3 linked regions of the Rattus norvegicus genome follow. Each later gene encodes a partner of the first gene's protein in a complex. Links are inferred from orthologs where the notes say so. Each region holds a gene or a part of one and is shown on either strand. Other genes may lie near its edges.

Evidence for each region.
Region 2: the proteins of Smc2 (region 1) and Ncapd3 are in contact, whole or in part, in a cryo-EM structure (PDB 9F5W), measured with the Homo sapiens proteins. The link is inferred for Rattus norvegicus from reciprocal best matches to the Homo sapiens genes SMC2 and NCAPD3. Residues at the interface, in NP_001036015.1 of Homo sapiens: Arg112, Ala122, Asn123, Asn124, Thr125, Arg126, Leu218, Lys222, Arg225, His229, Trp940, Asn942, Ala943, Glu944, Phe948, Arg981, Met985, Arg986; in NP_056076.1 of Homo sapiens: Asp31, Met72, Ile80, Pro127, Gly128, Ala131, Phe135, Pro137, Asp141, Lys235, Gln237, Gln240, Leu1121, Asn1196, Asn1200, Pro1203.
Region 3: Smc2 (region 1) and Ncaph share a complex: the UniProt entries of both Homo sapiens proteins name them as parts of the condensin complex. The link is inferred for Rattus norvegicus from reciprocal best matches to the Homo sapiens genes SMC2 and NCAPH.

The regions. Positions count from the first base shown.
Region 1 is NC_086023.1:71,608,857-71,612,507, forward strand, and holds part of Smc2 (structural maintenance of chromosomes protein 2), read left to right. Parts: intron 1-513; coding exon 514-552; intron 553-1,884; coding exon 1,885-1,995; intron 1,996-2,174; coding exon 2,175-2,219; intron 2,220-3,375; coding exon 3,376-3,609; intron 3,610-3,651. UniProt on the Homo sapiens protein: Central component of the condensin complex, a complex required for conversion of interphase chromatin into mitotic-like condense chromosomes.
Region 2 is NC_086026.1:33,755,263-33,758,913, reverse strand, and holds part of Ncapd3 (condensin-2 complex subunit D3), read right to left. Parts: intron 3,013-3,651; coding exon 2,902-3,012; intron 1,570-2,901; coding exon 1,387-1,569; intron 1,054-1,386; coding exon 875-1,053; intron 675-874; coding exon 541-674; intron 1-540.
Region 3 is NC_086021.1:134,850,250-134,854,000, forward strand, and holds the start of Ncaph (condensin complex subunit 2), read right to left. Parts: upstream 2,254-3,751; 5' UTR 2,183-2,253; coding exon 2,164-2,182; intron 2,011-2,163; exon of another isoform or gene 1,794-2,010; coding exon of another isoform or gene 1,727-1,793; exon of another isoform or gene 1,630-1,726; intron 1-1,629. UniProt on the Homo sapiens protein: Regulatory subunit of the condensin complex, a complex required for conversion of interphase chromatin into mitotic-like condense chromosomes.

The sequences.
Region 1 (3,651 bases):
ACTAAGTCCCACCTCCCAACCTTGTCCCTTTGGTGATTGAGTCCCTAACATGAATTATGAGGGACATATGCAAACTATCTAAAATAAAAATAGATTCACTGTAATCTGGCCTCAAAGCTAACACCTTACTATCAAGTGCCTCTGCATCGTGACTTGTAATCTGAGGCCTGAGGAGATTGGTTTTGGAAATTAATGCAGTTGATGATTTTCTGCCACTGAGCCAGATCTAATTTCACGTTCAGACCTGGAATCAGGTGGTCCACTTTCTGAAGATATATTTGCAGGGTTTAAAAAAAAATCAAGAAATACTTAATAAGCCCATGTCTGTTTTAAAATCTCATCCTTCTCCATTTGTATTACTGATCTTCTCAGACGTGTCCTGAGTTAACCTATATCATTTAATAACTTAATTTGTGTCACACCGATGAGCAACAGCCATTTCCACTTAAACAGTGAATATCCAACATTTTCTATGGCTCATTGAAGTTATTAAATTTGCTGTTTTCTTTTTAGGGCAGAATTACGAAAGTATTAAATATGAAACCACCAGAGGTAAGAATACCGAGAAGGATTAGAAGGGAGCTTCATGTTTAGCACTGTGTCCATAGTTAAAACATCTTGACTGTATAAAGCAGCCTAGCTAACTATGTTGGAATGAATTACTAAGGAAAAACCAGATAGAAAAACAGTACATATGAAGTTAGTTTCTTTTCTAGCATACATTATGTGAAATAAAGAAATTTTAAGTTACCTTGAAACTAGTTGATATAATCAAGTGAATCTTTTATTTTTACTCTTGCTATTGAAAAGAGTTAAAGAGATTGTAATTGACCTTACTACTGTATATAAGGTCAAGTTTACTTTCCCTCAGGTGCAAGTTTAGTGAAAAATTGTTAAAACTGGCTAACATGTACAAATTACAATGGGTTCACAAAAAAAGAAAATCGTTTAGAGCAGTGGTTCTCAACATGTGGGTAGCAACCCCTTTCAGTGGTAGAATGACGCTTTCACAGGGGTCACATAATCAGATACTTTATGTAATATTTATGTTACTGTTCATCATAGTAGCAACATTTAGTTATGAAACAGCGGTGAAAATAATTTTATGGTTGTGTGTCACCACACATGAGTAACTGTATTAAGAGGTCATAGCTTTAGGAAGATTGAGAAAGACTGTTCTAGAGATTGGCACTGAAGAATAGAAGCTGTTTTTAAAGGTGCTGGCATGCATTTTCACTGCTTTGTTTAGTCATTAGACATGGTGTCAGACACTGCATAGAGAAAGGAAGTGTAGAGAAAGTTACTTGTCATAACTCTTAGTGCTGCAGTCAGTAAGCAAATATTCCATGCTTCAGCCTTGGAATAAAATAGTGAAGTTCAATGTAAAACAGTTGTAAGAGCAAACTTAAAAAATAGAAGCTGAGTGGGGCTACTTTTTTTTCTTTAATTGCCTTTTTTTTTAAGTATAGAATAGAGTTTATTCAGGGCATAGGGAGGGGAGTCAAGAGGGTAGTAGAGGCAGAGAAAGGTAGAGACAGAGTCTAATTGCCTTTGTATACTTATATTTGAAGGAAAATAAGAGTCAGCAGCTTGAATTTTAGTGATAAACATTGGTAAATTAGTGTAGAAGAAGGCTTGATTCAGGAACAAGAGTGAAGCTATAAATATTTCTTTAAATTAAATGTCATTGACATACATATTTTAATCTGGTTAACTTATGATATACTATATATGTAATATATAATATATTTTATATATATGTGTGTGTGTGTGTGTGTGTGTATGTTACATAGTAAAGTTCTGTTGAGGTCAATGTATTGTTATAATTAATTTTAAATTCCAATGAGACGTTGCTTTGAATTCTTAATACAATTGTTGTTTCAGATATTATCCATGATCGAAGAAGCTGCTGGAACCAGGATGTATGAGTACAAAAAAATAGCTGCCCAGAAAACTATAGAAAAAAAGGAGGCTAAGCTGAAAGAAATAAAAACGGTAATTGAAAAAGACATGAAATAGTTTTGGAGAAGAATCTTGATTTGAAGTTTTATGCTGTGAATCAAGAAAATGTTTTACTTTTCAGTTGTTTTCCATGTCTTACAAAACAGACACCTAGATGTGTTTTGTGTTGGCACCTGATTTACTGAAAATAGTGGCTTTCTTTTGTATTCTAGATACTGGAAGAAGAGATTACGCCAACAATTCAAAAATTAAAAGAGGTAATACTAATTCTTTGATATATAGTTGGAACTGTTCTCAGAATCAGTGAAAGTACTTGTTATACAAATACTGATAAAATGTCTACCACTTGAGAATTTTTCTGTGAGATGAAATGCATTCAAATTAGTACTCTAATCCAGCCTTCTCCTTGCAGTGGATGTGTATTTCTTCTATTAAATCATAATGATATTGGAGAATAGTCTTCATAATCTTAGAAATGTTAATGACAGCTTTTAATACTTTATTGAAGAATAGCAAATCCACTTTTACTGGATACTTAGTATTGACTAGAACATTTTAAAAGATAGAATTCTTAACCTTGATCTTTTCAGAGTGAATTCCTAGTATGATAGTAGCTATCACAGTAATTATCACAGTTCATTTATAACATCTTATGGTAGGATTGTGTTCTTTCTATATATTTGCAACCCCAAGCATCTTAAAACTTGGCAGTATTGGAATGTTTGTAGAACACATTGTTTTTACCCATCTAAGACTTATTAACTGCTTGATAAAATTTAGTATTCTTTAACTTTATTGTGTAGGTGATTTGGGAAGACCGAAAAATTGGCAAATTATAAATTAGAAGTTTAAGCCTAACCTTCAGATCCCACTTTTGTCGTATTCTTTCTAAATCTGTGGCAGGGGGTGGCAGTGAAGCTACTATGAATTTTTCTCTACCTTCAGCTTACAGTTTAGTTGCTGCGTTGCTTCTGTGGGTCCTTATGTGAATCAGCTTCTCTAATGTGGGGCACGTGGTTGTAGTACTTGGCCATTCTGTAGGAATCCTAGGAACACTATTGCCAATATGTTTAATAGTGTGCCCTGATGTCTATATGCACTTTGTAGACTGCTGTCACCAGTATATGAACCGTAAAACACATTTCCTTGTTAAATGGACTGCTTGTTCATGTTTTAAACACACACACACGCACACAAGGCCTTGTAGAATTCTCTACAGACAGTATAATGTTATCTTAAAAGCCAGAGTTTTGAGGTTATACTTTCTAAATGCTTTAGATAACGTCTTTAACGATAAACAAAAGTCAGATCATATAAAGAGAAATTGATCCAAGTTTGCTGTAGTGAAAATTTCCCCACATTTGCTTTAAAAGTATGAATTTGAATCACTCTTTATGGTGACTTTTCTTTCAGGAAAGATCTTCTTACTTGGAGTACCAGAAAGTGATGCGTGAGATCGAGCATCTGAGCCGTTTATATATTGCCTATCAGTTTTTGCTGGCTGAAGATACCAAGGAACGCTCAGCTGGGGAGCTAAAGGAAATGCAGGATAAAATATTAAAGCTTCAAGAAGTACTGTCAGAGAATGAAAAAAAGATAAAGGCTCTCAATTGTGAAATAGAAGAATTGGAGAAGAGAAAAGATAAGGTCAGAACAAATTAGATAAACACTGGAAAAAGTAAACCATGC
Region 2 (3,651 bases), on another chromosome or scaffold:
TGTCCGCAAGCACAGGACCTACGGCAGGGCGGAAACTCAGGCCAAACCTATGGTTCTGGTAGCTCGGCAATATAAAGTTTTACATGTGCATGCGTGTGCGCGTGTGTGTACAGGCACGTGTGCGTGTGTGTTTCAATTACTTTTTTTCTTTGGCCTTTGCCACTGGAAATAATTTCCCATACAAGGCTATACCTACGAGGCTGTTTTACTGTGTCACTTACATACAAAATAGGAAAGTATCAATGCTTTCACGAATAGGGCAGTAACAGAAGTCCCGGACTTCCAGTTTAAGGTGGGACACTATAAAGCCACTGGGACAAGAGTTCTGAAAATCTCTAGGAGGCATTTTCACTGCATGCCTCACAGGCGTGATGTGGGGAGAGCGCTGACTTCACACCATTCCCCAAACCCCTCAGCAGAGGAAAGTCCATTTTCTCACCTCCAATTAATTCAGGACAACAGAAAACATTTGGAATGAGGCATAGACTCACTTTTGAATTGTGCATGCTCAATACACCTGATGTCAACCCTAAGGCTTACCACGGCTGGAGGGATTTTCTGGGCTTCCGTTCTCCATGTTGAAAGACAGGGCTCCTAAACTGCGTGTCCTGCTCTTAGACGCAACAGCTTTCTTGACTGAATTCAGGATTGCGATGGTACTCAGAGACATGGGCCTACAGAGACAAGATGGCAGAGCTGACTCCGAGTCAGACCAGCAGGGGGCATCGTTTCCCACCCACGTCTTCTCTTCCAGCCCCCAGGGAGGCTCGTGGTGTGAGGGGTTAGTGATGAGGCAGTTCTGGCCTGGTGGGAATGTGGAGATGCCGTGAGAATGCCACGACTGGGGCTGCTGCTGGCTCAGTGGGCTCCCTACCTGGTACTGGACATTATCTTCAGAGGTCCCTTTTCGCATATAGGAGGCAAAGTTGGTGTGAAGCTGGACCCAGGTGCTGAAGGCTGGCTCTGGGCCAGAGGCAGAGGCATGTTAGCATCGGCCTGGCCAGCACCAGCGGCGGCAGCAGCGCCAGGTACAGCTTGTAAGTCTGGAGCAACCTATCAGGAGAGTGCACAAGAGTATCACTGTTTGCTAGAAGTGCACAGGCAGTCCACTCTACAGCCAATGCACAGGGACAGCCACACAGATGCCAGGCAGGCTGGTCTCTCAGTTTTTAATACAGCACATCTACTTGGAATCCCCAAGCTAGAATGTGAGCTATACTCAGAAACGCTCTGGCAGACAATAAGCTCTTCAGGGAGAAACAACACATAAGACTCGGAGAGGTGCAGGAGGTGGCTACGGAGCTCACGGCACAAACTCCTGCTTTCCGAGGATTCCCACAATTCTCCAGGCAAAGTTGACTGGGCTACTGGTGTGTCCATCCCCACCTGCTGGGAGGGGACCCTGTCCCCGTCTGCAGGCACGTTGGTGGCATTAGCATGCTCCGTCAGAGCTTGCTCCTGGGCCAGTTGTTCAGTGTACTTCTTCATGTCATACTCAAGCTCAGACGCCAGCTGTCTGTCCACTGCAAAGAAGTCTTTGATCTCATCGCGGTAATCCTGCATTACTTCCTGAAACAGACCCAGAAGCATCCTTTAGTGCCTTTTTCCATAAAAAGCGAGGCCTTACTGGTATGGTGCACAACTCCAACTCCAAAATGAGAGCTGGTGAGCCTGGAGGGCAGGAGTTGCAGACCGCCCAAGCCGCACGGCAGCCCCTTTCCTCCCCGTCATGAGAGTTTCTCTGTGTAGTTCTGGCTGTCCTGGAATTACTCCACAGACCAGCCCAGCCCCAAACTCGGAGATCTGCTGCAGGTCACTCAGTCCCAGGACATTTTCCTGGGACACTGAGCACACAGGCAGGTGAGCACGACACTTAGTTTCTGCTTACGGCTGTGGTCCCACCAGAAGGTGCCTGTCTGACTGCCATGCTTCATGGGAGAGGACCCTGTAGAGGTCACAGAGGTTGTATAGCCTGGAAGTGACTCGTGTCCAAAGCAACGTTATCCATGGGTGCCCGGGGCGTGGGGTGGGGTGGGGGGGGAAGAGTATGTCACAAACAAAACAAAACCCCCAAATTCTCATGTTCTCTGTAAAGTGAGCTCAGCTCTCCTATATGATCTTCCTTAGGATGCAAAACTATCTGAAAAATTATATTTAGGATAATTTCGCTATAGCCCTTTAAGGAGCTTTTCCAATTTTTCAAAAAACCCTTTTAGGTCAGAGGAAAACTGACTGGTGGTGTGCGGGTTCTGGCGAGCACCGTCATCTGCTGAGCTATCTTGCTAGCGGCAAGTTTGTTTTTTTTGAAGAAAACCAAATGTGAACAAAGAAAAAGCTACTAAATTAAAGGAGAAAATATGCCATTTTTTCCTGAATGCTTTCTGTCAGACGCCCGAGGCTTTGCTCAGAGCTGTGTTATAAGCAAACACGTCCCAGCTTTGCAGCTCGCATGGTCCTCTGCTTTACAGACGACCCAGCAACAGGAGCTGTCTCAAAAAAACACCTTATCCCTGCATGCATGACACCGCCACGGGGCCGGGACTTCCTGCCTGCAAGTCAAACAGCCAACTTTAAATATGATGACCAATTTCCACCTCATCCTTACAATGTCTTGTCCTCAGCTTTAGTTGAGAAAATCTTTAGACTGGAACATAATCCCAAGGAAGGTTCAAAACACGAACATATGCTTTAAAAACTCAGTGGCCTGAGAAACACGGAGCACCTCAGTGGTACTTCTGGCCACACTTCAGTCCCTCAATGCCCTTGGCAGCCTGCTCGGTACATTTCTATAAACGAGGTTTCTTAGCACCGAGTTCTTGTCGTTCACTGTCTAGACTAAGCAATGAATCTGGGGCAGTGGGGCTTGGGAGGAAAACCCCACAGGGCAAGTTCCTCATTTACCCTGAGGTAGTTCATGAGTTCCCTTAAAGCAGGGATCTTATTTTTCTCCAGCACAGTCTTCAGGGAGATGATGATTGGAATAATATTCTCTATGAAATTCCTCTTTTGAACCTGCAGGAACACACACAAAAGCATGCATTAAATGCACACACATCTGAACATTAATTTTTCCTTCATCTACTTCTTTAAGTATACCAAATCGAGCAGCTACAGAAGCCCATCTGCCAGTTGACTAGAATACTGGGAGTGAAGAGCTTGCCTGGCTTGTTATCAGACTGTAAGCACCACAGCACATACAGGCCTGCACAGCAGAATGCATATTAACACCAATTCTATGTTCTAAACTAGAAGAAGGAGTAAGAAATACACTGAAGAACTTGACAAAAAGCTTCAATCTCTACACAACCCTGATGGACCCTGGGCTCTGATCCACTATGTATCCTTGCTTTTGAAAGATAATCTGATCATGTGACCACCAGAGAGATACATTATAATCTTGCATGTAGAAAGACAATGATCTGTAGTTGGGTAAGCGTGCACGTGTGTGTGTGTGTGTGTGTGTGTGTGTGTGTGTGTGTGTGTGTGTGTATGCCAGTGCTCCTGAATGCATACATGAATGGACACATGTGTCTGCCTTTACTATGTCTATGTAACTCTGTATAGTTTTTTTGAAAGTATAATGTACCGGGGTATGATGACCAAGCCTTATAATCCTGTGCTGACTCAGGAGGCAGAGGAAGGAAGATCAAG
Region 3 (3,751 bases), on another chromosome or scaffold:
TGACCTACTGTTTTAGAGTAAGACACAAGATTCCTGGGAGGAGTTAAAGGAACCCTAACTCATCCTAATCCCTACCCCCGATTTAACAAACAAAGAGCATTGTTTTAAACGTGGCTTCACCGCATATTAAGAAGACTTTAGGTAAGCAAACAAGCTATCTGTCTCTATGCTGTATCTGCTTCAACACCGCCCCAAATGGAGGAACGTCACCTGGCTCTGGCTATGGCTGGTGGAAGAGTCCTTGCCTAGCTCTTCTCCTTGGGTGGGCACGTGCTGAGAGAAAGGGAGAGGGAGGGAGGGAAGGAAAAAGGGAGAAAAGGAGAGAGGGAGAAAAATGGGAGGAGGGAAGGAGAGAACGCCCAGAGAGTGAGCTGACTTTGCTGTTTCCCAACAGGCGATACAATGCGATTTCAATGTGCACAATAAGATTTTATAGGCACACAGAAAAAAATAAAAGGAGACTGGGAATATAGAGCCATATAGAATTCTTGCCTGGCATGCACACGCCATGGCACAAGACTTATACCACAAAAGTAAACAAAGAGACCCAACAAACAAATGCTTGTCCACAGACAGCAGAAGGAAAAGGCAGTCCAAAAACTTTACAAGGGTATAGTTTACACAACTCTCATCCAACACCAAGACAAAACAAAAACGTCAAGAGAGCAGATGTGATGTTTTGTGGGCAAAAATCAAGACATTTGTAAATGTGGATAAGGAAAGGAATTGAGAAACTGGAAGCACTGAGGGATAGCTCTTTAAATCCACCACCCATTGTTCTCTGCAGGGGGCGGTATACATCTAACTCAATGGATTGTTACTGAAGTCAAGAGCACTTCCTGTGCCTGATTTTTCCTCCCACTCACTCAGCCCCTCTGCTCTGCTTCAGTTCTCAGCCTGAAGTGGGCACTTCAGGACTTGTCTCTTCTTCTTGAGCTGCTCTTGGCTCCTGTGATACCTGTAACTTGGGTTTTTTCCAGTGCCCTCCTCCCACCCGGCCACCTGTTGCTGGTCCTGAATGTACTCAATACAATGTCTGTCTGGTGTTCCCACCTGGACCCATGGCTTTACGATCCCCGAGATAGAGAAAAACAAATCTACCTCTCAGCCTATGGACCTCTGTCAAACTCATCCAGTAGAAACCCTCTCACCTGTGCACCTCACCTCTCCAGGAAGTCACAAGCAACAAATTCAAAATGAAACTATTATTAGAAAACTCTAACTTAGGCCTACCAGGTCCTGCCTGTTGTCAGTCTCACTAAGTTTAGTTATAATGGTCTAGCTCAGTGGTTCTCAACCTTCCTAATGCTGTGACCCTTTGACACAGTTCCTCATATTGTGCTGACCCCCCCCACCATAAAATTATTTTCATTGCTACTTCATAACTGTAAATTTGCTACTGTTATGAATCTTTTTTTTTTTTTTTTGGTTCTTTTTTTCGGAGCTGGAGACCGAACCCAGGGTCTTGCGCTTCCTAGGTAAGCGCTCTACCACTGAGCTAAATCCCCAGCCCCTACTGTTATGAATCTTAATGTAAACATCTGTTTTCTGATGATCTTAGGTGAACCCTGTAGAAAGGTCATTTGACACCTCCCCATGGGGACTGTCACCCAAAGGTTGAGAACATACAGTGTAGTAATTCCTAGACCAGTTCAGATTCCTTCCTGGCTCGTCCCTTGGACACGATGCTCCGAGCTAGCTCAAAGTCACTATAGCTGAGGATAACCTTGAATTTCTGATCCTCCAGTCTCCAACTCAAGTGCCCAGGCTTCTTCGGTTGCGAATTTCTGCATCTGACCAAGGTCTGTCCCAAAGGGAGCCCTCAAGACTTTTGAATCAGTTCCAAAAGACAGGCACGAGTGCTCAACACAGAACGGTCGACCCTATGCTTCCACAGCTCCCCACACAACGTCCAGTCCAGAACCACTCCCCCAACCTTTTCCTCCGTTGGAACCGGGGCGCGGGGAGCATTAGAGCCTGGCCGCCACTGGCAGCTGCACCCTGATTGGCCCAGCGCCCCGCTTTCCCTCGGCTTGTCTTCCCTTCCCCCTCCACAGCCCCCGGCTGAACCCCGCCGAACACATTCGTCCCTTCTGGACCTGCCCACGCGAGCACCCTTCGGTCCTGATCCTGACAGCCGCGCCTCGACCCACTCGAGCTCACCTGAGCGTGGGATTTTCATCTTGCTCTCCACGTCTCCGTAGTTAAGTTTTAAATCGTGAGCGCCAAGCGCGGTAACTGCCGCGTGACGCCCCTGGGGGAGTGGCCTTTGGTGCGCCTGCGCAGACCGCCCAGGCGGCTGATTAAAAACTGTGCCGGCGGGAAGTCCTTCATTGAAGTCTAAGCAAGTGAGCTTAGCTGCAGCGGTGACCTAGCTGATGACGTTTGGAAACGCTGGCGGCCGAGCGCTGGGCGCCGAGTAGGATGTGTAGATCTGGGCGGGCAAAGGCTGTACTTTCCTAGAATCTGGATTGTAATGGGGAGGCAGGTTTCTGAGGGATGGAGGTTCATTGTCTTAAAAGACATGTTCTTTGTGGGTAGAAAACGGTATCCTTCTTGAAGTTCCAGGCAAGCAAGAAGGAACGTAAAGCATTGTGTATGCATGTGTACACTCCACCCAGAGTATTGTGTATGTATACATCCCAAGAGCATTGTGTGTGCATGTGTGTACACACACCCCAGAGCCTTGTGTTGACACGTGTGGGCGCCCAGTACAGTTCATATACGTGTATACACTTCCAGAGAGCTTTCTGTCTGCATGTATGTGTACACGTCCATACACACACATATCAGAGCATTGTGTGAGCATGTGTATCTGCACCAAAGCATACATCTACACACATGCATGTACATACATTTGAAAACGAAGCTTTTGTCCAGATTCTTGTAAAAGGCTTTTTGGAGGCCAGCTGCCTACCACCCTTTTTTAAACGGAGGCCTGGGGTGTAGCTGTTTAACATCCTTTACACCATTTGCCTGCCTGCTTACTGTCATCGGTGCCCCTCATTTGGGAAACCAAAGCTCTGCCCTTTGTTGAAAGCTAATTTTAAAAAAAATTTCATTTGATGTGAATGAGTGTTTTACCTGAGTATGTGTGCATTTACTACATGCATGGCTGGTACCCAAGAAGACCGGAAAAGGCTGTCAGATCCCCTGGGATTGGAGTGACAGATGTTTGTGAGCCACCATGTGGGTGCTGGGAATGAAACCCAGGTCTCCTGCAAGAGCAACAAGTACTCTGGACCAACAAGCTACTTCTCTAACTCCCAAAAGCTTCTCTTGAAAGCTATTTAGTTTTTGCATGGATTTGCAAAACTACTTTGGAATGAGGCAGCCTGGTGTACCGGCCCCAGACCTTAGCAGCACTGACTCCATGACAATTTGGACTGTTAAACTCATCGTGGAGGTAGGAGCACCTGCCAAAGGGAAACAAAGACAGAATCTATCAAAGTCTCTAAATGTTCTAACCTTGCTTTTTAGCCTCTGTAGTTCCACTTCTCGCTAACAGTTCTCGTTAACTGAAGTGTGTCAACCCAGAACATGGTTTTGTTCTTAAAAGTTCACCATGAGAAAGGCTCAGGGCTACACTGGATCCTGAACACACAGTATAGGGCATCAGTCAGCTAACAAAGACCCACCTCCAAGCAGCCCTCTCTGGCGGACACCCCACAGCAGTAGATTATGGGAGAAAAGATTGGTGTTCCTCACCTTCCTGAATGCTCCTGTCAGCCACCAAGGACTGGACTTATCC